3 linked regions of the Notamacropus eugenii genome follow. The protein of the gene in region 1 purifies or fractionates together with the protein of each later gene. This does not show direct contact. Links are inferred from orthologs where the notes say so. Each region holds a gene or a part of one and is shown on either strand. Other genes may lie near its edges. The genes, in order: CBX1, ZNF644 and EHMT1.

Region 1 (3,745 bases):
ACTCCTTTTGAATTCTACACCCACCAAACTGGACTTCTTTGTTCTTCATCAGGGACATTTTATCTTCGCCGGGTTCTCCCCCCCTTTTCCCAGGAATGAATTCCCTTTTCAACTCTGAGACTCAAAGAATTTCTAGTTTTATTCAAAGGAAACTGAAACTCAGTTGCAGCTCAACCCTCACCTCCTATTTGAGGCTATTCCCGATCCCATCCAGCGCTAGTACCTTGAGCCCTAAATATGGTTACTTAATTACCTTTTTCGTTACTTTGTATACATTTTTGACAACGAGGAAGCGGTGTTGGTAAGTGGGGAGCGAGTTGGTCTCAGTCAGTTTAAATTCTACTTCAGAACCCCGAGGTAAGTTGCTTAATCTCCCAACATTCCAGGCAAACCGTTTAGATTTATATCTTAATAAATATGCCTCTTACTTTACAATAGTATAATATGTCTTAATTTGTAATAAGTACTGTAATTATTTATTACAGTAATCTTAATATAGAAATTACAGAGAACTGCCAAGACGTTTGAATTCACAAGACTGGTTCAAAGGCATATGTGAATGTGTTTCTACGTCTAGATCGTCGCGAGCAAAGGGACAGTTGCACTTGTCTCTCGGTATCCCTAGCAACCTGCCCGGTCTCTAGACGCTTAATAAATGCTTGTTGCTAGATGAGTTGATTACACGTGCCACAATCCAATCAGACAGTACTAGTCCCTGGAGCCGCTACCCAGAGCTTGGAGCTTCGTTGGGTGACGTCACCACGTTCCTTCCCTCGCAGTACCCTGGGGCTTGTAGTCTGGGAGGGACTTCAAGTTCCACACTGCCCCGCGTTGGGTCGCGGCGCCTGCGCGTTGCGCGCGGCGGGCAGAGCTGAGTACGGGGCTCTTTTGTTCCGCGGAGCTGGGACGATTGGCTGGGCCCGGGGGAGCTTCGCTTAGCCTATCTTAGGTGAGGAGGGGCACCAGGCTCTAGCCGCGGCCGCCGCTCTTTCTGGCTTAGACAGCTCATCCTCCTTCTCGCTGTCCCCAGCCTCCTGCGACGCGCTAGCGGCGCGACACCGATTCCCCCCGGGTTGAGTCGACGCTGCTCTGAGGTAAGGAGGGAGGGGTGTGTGTGTTTGTGTGTCTGAGAGTGTGTATATGAGAGGATGTGTCTGGTGACACTGGGAAACCGAGGAGGGGGGCCCGGGGGGTGGGGAGGGCTCTCGGCCGATGGGAGTAGGGCCGTTAGGAACCCGGCGCGCGGGAGGCAACCCCCACCCCCTCCCCCACTACTCCCCCAGTCCTCGGTCCCTTCCCGCGCGCAGACCCCGGGAGGGGGCGGGGCTCGTGGAGCGCGCGCGGCGCAGGAATCCCGAGTCGGAAACGGCCGGTGTGGTGGGTTGGACCCCGCGCGTGCTGGGGGCGCTTCGCTGGTCCTAGTTTCTGGGGTCCTTGGTTAAGGGGCCCCCTGGCGAGAAGGAATGTGGCCCCGGGGCTGTGGGGGAGGAGGGGCGGAGCTTTAGCTACTTTAGCCGGTATTGTTATTACCCGCTACTCTGTAAAGGAAAGGGGGTGGGGCATAGGTGGCATTGAACGCCCTTCTTCTGCCCCGGTGGGGAGGAACTTGATTTTTTGTAGCTGATGCATGTTGATGCTTTTAAGAAAAAGACTTGAGGTTTGAATAACGTCCAGGAATTGAGGTCCCATCTCCAACTGTAGATTATCTCCAGCTGATGCAGTCTGTAGTGTGTACATGGTTTGCAGGTTGTCCACTACACGTGAACTCCAGGAGAGCTTTTCTTGTGCCTGGTAAGGGGAAGGCGCTTCATAATTGCTTGTTGACTCGACAGATAAGTGGTTGTGTATTCGTGTTGTCCCCCACTGTGAGCTCCTTGATGGTAGAGATTTACCCTTCCTCTTTCTTTTGTGTCCCCGGAGCGTATAGCGCAGTGCCTGGCTTCACTTAATAAATTCTTATGGACGAAGCGTTAAGGCAAAAAGTTTGAGAACCCGAAGTTCTCTTGCTTGATGTACTTCATGCTAGCAACTAGCAACGAAATTTTGAAATAAAATTCCACCCATGTTACATTAGAAGAATCATTTCCAAGGCAAATGCAATAGGAAAGTGAAATGAACTTTTCATTACGACGTTGCCCCTTTCCCCCATTCCAAGATATTTTCCACAGAAGATTGTAGCGGAGATCTTGTGCTCAAGTTTTTCGTCAGACTTCAGGGTGAGGAAGACTTGGAGTTGTTGAATCCCACCTTTAGATGTTAGCTGATTGATCCTGGGCAAGTCCCACAACCTTTTTTCAGTCTCAGTTTCCTGGTCTATACAGTTGTATTCGATGGCCTCTAAAGTCTCTTCCAGCCCTAAATCTGTGATCTTTGGGAAGTCCCTTCTGCTTTCCCTGGATCCCTGGATGGTGGCCTTGCTTTCCATCGATCTTTGGTGGGAAAGCCTAAGTATTGGTTTACCTGATAGTCCAAAACATGAATGGAGCCATACCCTGGGGCTTTGAGGCCTTGAATTGTATTCCTCTGTTCAGCCTTTTGTCTGACAAATTTGGGCCCTGAATGGCTGCTGGTGACGTTAAGGTTTTGTAACTACCTTCTTTGGAAAGAATTGCCCTGGTAGATAAAGTGTGTAGAAGAGGATGCCTTTTCTTTATGCCCTTTTTGTAAATTTAGGTGGTTCTTGGGAGCCAAACCTGGGAAATCTTTGAGAACCACTTTACACCTCTTTTAACCCTACCCTGAAGACTAAATTCTAGTTCTGTTAGGTTTGTATGCACATATTAGCAGGAGGCATCCTGTCTGTGCCTTTGCTGGGGCTGTTTCCTATGCCTGGAATGCAGTTTCTCCTCACCTGAGCCTCTTCGAATTCCTAGCTTCCTTCCAAGCTCAGCTCAGCATCACCTATTACAAGAGGCCTTTCCTACTTTTTTTGCCTTTGCTAACCTGTAGTATGTTCTGCCCTCCTATATCTTAAGTATATTTTGCATTTATTTATATGTGTATATGTTGTTTCTCCTGTGGGATGTAAGCTTCGTGACTGCAGGGGGCCTAACAAATGCATGTTGATGGATGAAGCTACCTAAGGGCAATGATTTCTGCCCTTTATTTTCACTGTTGCCTCCAAATGAAGAGTCATCTCTGCAGTTAGGTGAGTGTCTGAAAAGTCTGAAAGTGAGTAGAAGCATGTGATAGATACTGTGATCCTCCCTAGAAGCCTTCCAGACATTTATATGGAAGTTAAAGGAAGCCTCTGGTTTTGTTTTTTTCCTATAATGACATTTTTGTTCCCAATAGCTTATATATTCCGAATTGTTTTTCTTTAAAAGTGAGTAGAGGATATGGAGGATAGTGCTATAGCCTATGCCAGGTTCTTGATAAGAAAAGATGTGCCTACTCTTTTCTTCCTCTGTCTTTGTACCTGTGGTTAGATACCTGAATTTTTCTAACCCCTTCTGGACAAACGATATTGAAATATACCAGAAAGGAATTTTCTAAATGAGAGAACTTAAGTACACCTTTAAAAGAGGATTGCTATATAATGTCATTTTCAGAACAGTAGGTGCAGTTTCGTTCACTAGTTAAAAGCATTTGTTAACACTTACTACATTCTAGGCATTGTGCCAGGTGTTGGGGGTACAAAGAAAAACAAAAAAGTCCCTGACCTATCCTACCATACAGTCTTTGGAGATGAGGGCTCTAGTAGCTAGGGAATCAGGAAAGGCCATATATAGAACAGGACTCTTCA
Region 2 (3,745 bases), about 150 Mb from region 1:
ACTGCACTACCTAGCTGCCTTATAATGGATGAATTAAATATTAAAAATTTGAAAAATGTGGTTTACAGCATATACTGATCAGTCAGGGCCTTCTTCCAGATTCTCCTCAGTTTGCTCAGTTTATCTATTCTCTACGTGCCTGGTTATTTCTGTGTTGTCTCTAAGCTCCCTGCTGGCAGGCATAGTCTGGCTTTTCTTGGCACTTCCGGCGGCGTCTAGGTCCCGCTTTTCTTGGCACTTCCGGTGGCGTCTAGGTCCCGCTTTTCTTGGCACTTCCGGTGGCGTCTAGGTCCCACTTTTCTTGGCACTTCTGGCGGGTCTAGCAGGTTTTCCTGGCCTAACCTCGGCGTGTGCGGCAGTGCCCTGGGGTGCAAAGAGCCGTCCATGAACGTGGCCTCCTGGGAGGGGAGGCTCATTAATGAACGCGGATGGAAGGAGGGTTTCCTTCAGAGATGCTCCCGACGCCGCGTCCTCACGTTCCTCATTGGTAGGCTCCGGAGCCGCTAGGTAACTCTAAGCTTTTTCTTTTTAGTGCCCCGTTTTGGCCGCGTCCCAGGGTGGCGGCGGGCCGATAAAGCTTGGGCTCCCTGCGGGGCTTGGCCTTTGGGCCTCGAGCCGGCTCGTGGTCGGCCGGTGCCACAGTGTTTGGGTGGCCCTCACCGGGGCGGCCGCCTAGCGGAGGGTGGCCGAGGCCGCCCAAGGCAGCCGGGTGTGGGATGGGGGAGGCCGAGGCGGGCAGCTCCTCCAGCACGAGGCGGCGGCGGAGGAGCTTGGGGTAGGCTGAGGGGACGGCCGGCCAGGCTGAGGCGGGAAAGCTGCGCGCCTGCGCACTGGCGTCCCGGGCCGGCGGCGAAGATCGCTTTGCTCGCGCAGGGAGGTCCCCCTCCCCAGCTGAGGCGGCGCGGTGCGTACAGGGCGGCGTGTGACGCGGGGACGCTGCGCGCTCGCAACGTCGCCTCGGTTTGACGCACACGGCACCAAACTGTGAGTTTGGGGGGGGGGGATTGGTCGGACACGCCGGCCCTCCAGCGGGTTTCGGGCCCTAGGGCTGAGGCGGCGGCGGGCCTGAGGGCGGCGGCAGGACTCGGGCGGGGCCGTCCCCCCGGAGCCGGGGCCCCGACCGCGGCGCCCCAGGCTGGGTCCCTTCCATCCCAAAGGACGCGTTTTGCCGCACAGGCTAAGATGGCGGCGGCGGCGGCCGAGGAGGCGGAGCTGGTGCGGCACAAGGAGCCCGGGGCCGGGGTTCGGGGCCGGGGTCGCGGCGGCGGCGGCAGCGGAGGAGGCGGAGGTCGCGGGCGCGGGCGCGGGCGCGGGGGGCGGCGGAGCCTGAGGTGAGCCGGGGGCCGCGGCGGCGGCGGGGCGGGGTCGGGCGGGGCGGGCCGCGGTAGCGCTGGGGGCTCGGCGGCGGCCGCTGCGAGCGAACGAGCGAACGGACCGACCTACACAAAGGGACCGGGCCGGGCCGGGCCGGACCGGGGAGGGGGGTGTTCTGTCACATGAAGCGGCGCAGCCAGTGAGCGGCGCGGAAGAGAGGGAAGGGGCCGAGGCCCGGCGGGCGCCATTGCCGAGCGCCGAGTAACGGGGCGGCGGCGGCCCCCGCCCGTGCCCGCTCCCCCTTGCCCTGCCGAGCCGGGGGGAGGGGGTCTCCTCGGGCCGGTGTCCGGCCTCTGGGCCCCGGAGCTCTGAGAGAGCCGGCGGGGCCCTTCGCCGCAGCCTCGGGTCGGCAGCCCCCGAGCGGAGCCGGAGCGCCGCGGGCTCTCGGGGCGCCGCCGGACGCGGATTCCCGTAACTTTGGTGGGAAAGTTTGCTCCGCGCCCCGGGGGAGGGTTTGGGAAACTTTTCCTGAAGGGGACGCCCCTTGGTGCGGGGTCCCTGAGATGGGGGGAGGCTTTCCGGGGAGGACGCGGGGACCGGCCCTCGGGACCCGAGAGATGGGTAGCGAGGAGGCGGCTCTTGCCCCGGAGTAGTTGGGGAGACCCCGGGTGAGGGACGGAGCTCTCCGAAGCCGGCCCGCGTTTTGTGTCGGAGACTGGACGGAAAGGTTGTGGATCACCGGGCGCAGTCCGCCCCTGTCCCCTAGTTGTCCGAAGAGCTTTAAGGGTAGAGGGTTCAGCGGCGGTCATCCCTCACGTCATTTACCCCCTAGTCAGCCTGCGGGCGGAGAAGCCCCTGAGAGACGTGTGTGGTTACTGCACTTGGCAGAGAAAACTTCTGGTGACGAAGGAAGAAACAGAACAGCCGCTTCCTTCAGAGGTCCTTCAGCGGAATGCGCTAAAATTGCCCCCGTCTGTCGTTCCAGTCTGAGAAGTTTAGCTGCTTAATTCATCTCCCCCCCACCCCCGCTAGAAATTTTGTCGGGACTGCTGAGTAGGAGACCCTTTGGCACTCCGTCACCCAGAAGGAGTCAAAGAATTAACGGCTTTGAGGACTAGCCGTGTAGTCTCATCTCCCGAATTTTAAAGATGAGAAAACTGATTACCAAAGTGTTTACTGGTGGCCAAGCTGGCAGAACTAGTTAGTGGGAGAGAACGTCTCCCAGAGGTGTCATTGCTTCCTCACCGCTGAAGTGCACCAGCATTAAAATGTAATTGGGAAATGTTTAACAGTAGAGATATGCAGTACCACTTGGGTAATGTTAATTTGTGGTTTTCAGGGATCAGTTCTGTTTTGAGCCTAACACCACTCGATTCTAGAGTATTTGTGTCTTTTTGTCTTGCTTATCAATGCTCTATTGATTCCATGCCTCTGTGATTTAAAAATGAAATTTCCACCTGTAGTAAAACTATTTCTAGGGAGACAATTACAGGAAATGATAGTTGGCATGTAATACTCTTATACTGATGAAAATGTGACCTTACAGAAACATGAAACCTTTCAAGTTTGATTTTGTAGGATCACTTTTAAGAAGCTTTCAAAGCAGAAGCAAATTCACATGCTATTTTACATATAATAGACACTTGTAGGATGTTTCACATGTAATCCTGACTTCTCAGAATGTTTGACTGAACTGTCATATGTAAAATCCTTTTTGTTGATTATAGAGGTAGAGGAGCCACAGTGTAGAGGCATTCACACCTGATTTAGTAGAAGACCTGGACTCAGGTCACTGACATTGCAGTTTATACTTCCAAGCTCTAGATGGAGGTGCCCATATCTTCAGTTATTAGTTGCTTATGCATAAAATTTCCATTAAAGTTTTATTCTGAAGCTTCGTTGTTGTGTGAAGAGGAACTTGGGTTCCCATAAGGATTTGTCTTACAACCACTGCTTTGCTCTTAGAGGCTTAAGGTTTGCAAAGCTCCAAATTCCACAGAAGTATCCTGGAGGAGTATATGTTACCTGAGGAACAGTCTAAGTTTAAAGTTGCTAGTCACCAGGTTAGCTCCAGTGTTCCCTGTTACCTCTAGAAGCAAAAGCCCTTCATAATCTCACTCCAATCTACCCATCAGTCCTTATTCTTCTGTCTTTTTCTTCGACCTGTACAGTATGGTCTAGCCCAGGGGTGAGGAAGGGTGAAGGTGGCTCAAGTTTAGCCCTTTGACTGAATCCAAACTTCACTGAACAAATCTCCTTAATAAAAGGATTTGTTCTCTGTCCGAAGGGCAAACCCACATGTGGCCTAGAGGTACAGCTTCTGCATCCCGGTAGCCAAACTGGCTTACCACATTCCACCTCTGTGCCTTTGCACTGGCTGTGACGTCCATACCTGTAACTCATTTCCTTCGTCAAGCCTTCTCTTAGAGTC
Region 3 (3,745 bases), on another chromosome or scaffold:
CAACTTATCATAGACTTGGGAGAGCAGTGGTGGAAGGGCACTTGATGGGCTTACTACATCCTAGTAGACACTGAACTACATGACTATCTAAAAGACCCCCTCCCACTCTAAGAATCTATGATTCTAGAAGCAATATTCTGTGAACTCTATCCCAAATAAGTAACATATTGACAATAACAGAGTTTCTCCTCTTCCTATCTCTTTATTTTTTGTTTTTGTTTTGTTTTTTGGTTAAGACCTGCCACTTAATAAATGTAGGGAACTCCCTTTGAGGAAATTGCATCTATCAAAGCCAAGAAGAAACTGTTTTACAATTTATAGTCTTAAAGAGTTAGCTGGGGCTGAGGTACTAAGAGGGTAAGTGATTTGTCCAGGTTCTCAAAGCCAGTCAAATCAACTTCTGACAGAGCCTATAACTTAAAACAGAAGAAAAGTTTACAGAATAAACAAACAATCATTTTTCAAAAAGCCAGTACAACAGTACTGACCTTGCAATGTCTAACAAAGGTAATTTTCAATTTTGTTTTAGATACACCTCATTCCTTTATTCTACAGTCAAAAATATTAAGCATCTACTAAGTGCAAAGCAATGTACTAGTCTTACTATGCTAAGCATTTAATAAGCCATTATTATATGATATGATTAAGAATGTACTGGAGAACTAAATTGATCACCATATATACACATACATATGTATACATGCATACATACATACACATATACATACATGCATGCTAGAGAGACAAACAAAAAGAGACAGAGGAGACTCACTCTGGAGAAACAATCTGATTACCCTAACAGATAAAAAGGGTGGGCCTTGGAGTCTGGAAGACTTGGGCTAAAGTCCAGCCTTTGACACCTACTGGATAGCTGACCATGTGTAAGCCTCAGCATCCACCAGGTAATTCTATCAAACTATAAATTTCAAAAACATTGTTGATCTTCATTAGTACAGGCAGTTTCCACACTAGATAGCTCCCCAGAGATGAAATCACAAGTCCAGACCAAAAAAGAAAAAAGTATTGTTATTTCTAATAAGCCAACATAGTAGGATTTGGTAACCTATGGCACAAGATAATTATTTGGTAGTATGGCTGCAGAGGAAAGATGGGAATGTCAATGGATTCATAATTATATAATGTTATAGAATATATTAAGTATAGTCCCCAAAATGCTTCCCCTAAGATAGATACTGCAAGTATTATGCCAATTTTACAGATAATGACATTGAGGTACAGAAAGGTTGACTGACTAAACGCTATAAGATTCAAGAAATCAGGATTCAAATTGTGGTCTTCTGACTCCAAATCTAGGGCTCTTTCTATAACATGATGCCTCCAGAAGCCTAAACTGGGAAGCATTCTCTAAGTGCCCCTTTAGGCAACTGAGATTCACCGGGTCCCATACAAAGATTAAAATCATTTAAATAAGACTATGTGAGCACTTGCAGAGGGACTTACGTAGTTAATTCCATACACCAGGCTATCAACACCTAACAAATTGACCTTTAAGGTCAAGTTTCAAAAAAGATCCCTGAATATAGATGGTAGGCGATTTGTGAGGCTGCCTAAAATCCTAACTTTCTCCCTAAAATGAACACTAATAATTTTTAAAAGGGGGGGAGGTATACTCAACAAGCCATCAATATTCTATGCCCTAGTGATAAGGCCTTAATACAAACCTTAATTTTGCTAGCTCTACCTGTCAAAAAAAAAATCACTTCCCTATCTGTGACAACAAGCAAAAGAGAAAGCCAAGTTTGTCTTCTGACTAGATCGTGATCAGTTTAATCTCTAGGTAAAAGTTGAGGAATGGTACAATCTTGCTTTCCTTAGTCCTCAAAAAGCAAAAGTATTGTAGCCATGAAGTGTTATTAGATTTATACCCACCTATTCATTAAAGGTGATCTGCAAAGTACCAGTACATAAATGAAAGAACAACACAAGGAAATACAACTCAAGGGAAAAAGAGGTAAATCTCCATTCTCTCACCTAAGTTTTCCTTCAGTTTCAAGCTTGTCTTGAGTACATTCGGGAATGGGCCTAACAGTTCCCATCAACAGACCCCATCTTCCTCTCCACTGCCTGCCCCTCTACTCTTTTGTCTTGAAGGCTCTCAATCCTTTCTATGCTAGGCCTAAACCTTGAAACTGCTTCCCACATCCCGCAGCCCAAGAACTCTTTCAGACACACAGATGTCAGCCTCTGTCCTATGATTTACTTTTAACTTTCCTTTCTGGTAGTACATCAGGGCTCGTGTTTAACAGGCCTAGATAGGATGGGATGGAAAGAGATGAGATGAGATGAGATGGGATGGGATGGGATGGGATGGGATGGGATGGGATGGGATGGGATGGGATTGGGGGAGGGAAGGCTGGGAAGGGGAGAAAAAAGAATGGGAGGGGAGGGAAGACCCTTGGTCTAGAGGAAAAAGTATGGGGGAGGGGGAAGCCAAGCCAGGGCATCTTCCCCAGCCTGCCTCGCGGGCAACGAGGGCCGGCCTGGCGACGAGCGGGGGAGGGGTGCCCGCCCGCGCGCCCAGCCGGGCCCTTAACTCCTCGGGCGAGCGACCGGATGAGTGGCGGCGCGGGAGCAGCGACCGTCCTCGTCGTCGTTCCCCGCCCCCCCCATCCCAGCCCTGCGGGCACGCGCGAACACACACACGCACGCACACTCGCACGCACACACACACACACACACAAAGCGGCCCGGCGCGGGCCGATCCGGCCAGGCCCGGGGGAGGAGCAGCAGGGCCGTTGGCGGCGGTCCCCGGGCCAGGCCTAAGCCAGAAGAGGCCGCGCCGCGCCCCGCCCCCGCCTCGCTTAGCCGCCAACGGCCCCGCGGCCCCCGCCCGCCCGTGGTCCCTCCGCCCGTCCTTTCCTCCCTCCCTCCCTCCCTCACTCACCCACCTCAGAATCCGCGGCGGCCATGGCCCGGGTGCCCCGACTGTGGCCCCGCCCCCGTCCCGCCTCGCGCACACGGGCCCCGCCCCCACGGCGCCCCGCCTCTGATCCATATGCCCCGCCCTCACGCTGCCACACGCACACCGAGACCCGCCCCTCTCCGCAACCGTTCGTCCCCACTAGGACTGAGGAAATGAAGGGAGCCGACCTACGACAGCAAGCCGAGTGCGCATGCGCAGTCGACGCGGCTGTTATGACGGCCCCCAAACTTGTTCTTCCGCACAGCTGGAGTGCCACGTGACTTCGCCGCACGCCAGAACCAAGTACGTCACAGGGGGTAGAAGGAACCTGGGAGGCTCGGACTGGAGTTGAGATTACAACGCTCTCTTCCAGCTCCGAGCAGTGAGAGCGCCCAAGCTTGCGAGTGAAAAGTTAATAAATGCTTGTTTACCGAGTCCCCCATGAAACTATTTTCACGGCAGAGAACGAGAGGGTAGGCATGGAGCGCGTCGTGACGCATCCTGAGCCTACATACTTAGCTCTGCTCGGCCCCCAAGCCGTGCAACTAACCTTCTGGAGAGGCCTTAGCCGAAGCTACAGGAAGAGGAGGTCCATGATCACAAAACCACCCCACGCGCATGCTCTCAGCTAGCTAGTCAGGGAAAGATGGTCATCCCCATTGTACTGATGGGAAAACTGAGGCCTTGAAGCCCGGGAATAAGGGTGGACTCACGCCTGGACTCCAGCCCAGGGCTGTTCCCCCACCAACACCACCTCGTGCTTCCCTCCTTCCCCCAGTCTTGGAGAAGTCGCTGAGAAGTCTGCTGCCTCCCCGCGCCCCA

What was found.
Region 2: the proteins of CBX1 (region 1) and ZNF644 purify together in Homo sapiens (affinity purification with mass spectrometry; 3 studies listed by BioGRID and IntAct, with this or other methods). This does not show direct contact. The link is inferred for Notamacropus eugenii from reciprocal best matches to the Homo sapiens genes CBX1 and ZNF644.
Region 3: the proteins of CBX1 (region 1) and EHMT1 purify together in Homo sapiens (affinity purification with mass spectrometry; 3 studies listed by BioGRID and IntAct, with this or other methods). This does not show direct contact. The link is inferred for Notamacropus eugenii from reciprocal best matches to the Homo sapiens genes CBX1 and EHMT1.

What each region holds. Positions count from the first base shown.
Region 1 is NC_092873.1:353,057,229-353,060,973, forward strand, and holds the start of CBX1 (chromobox protein homolog 1), read left to right. Parts: upstream 1-806; 5' UTR 807-949; intron 950-1,030; 5' UTR 1,031-1,094; intron 1,095-1,467; exon of another isoform or gene 1,468-1,791; intron 1,792-3,029; exon of another isoform or gene 3,030-3,148; intron 3,149-3,745. UniProt on the Homo sapiens protein: Component of heterochromatin. Recognizes and binds histone H3 tails methylated at 'Lys-9', leading to epigenetic repression. Interaction with lamin B receptor (LBR) can contribute to the association of the heterochromatin with the inner nuclear membrane.
Region 2 is NC_092873.1:502,641,147-502,644,891, reverse strand, and holds the start of ZNF644 (zinc finger protein 644), read left to right. Parts: upstream 1-979; 5' UTR 980-1,182; coding exon 1,183-1,331; intron 1,332-3,745.
Region 3 is NC_092872.1:494,739,177-494,742,921, reverse strand, and holds the start of EHMT1 (histone-lysine N-methyltransferase EHMT1), read right to left. Parts: upstream 2,968-3,745; 5' UTR 2,931-2,967; coding exon of another isoform or gene 2,910-2,930; exon of another isoform or gene 2,906-2,909; intron 2,561-2,905; exon of another isoform or gene 1,993-2,560; intron 1,976-1,992; exon of another isoform or gene 1-1,975. UniProt on the Homo sapiens protein: Histone methyltransferase that specifically mono- and dimethylates 'Lys-9' of histone H3 (H3K9me1 and H3K9me2, respectively) in euchromatin.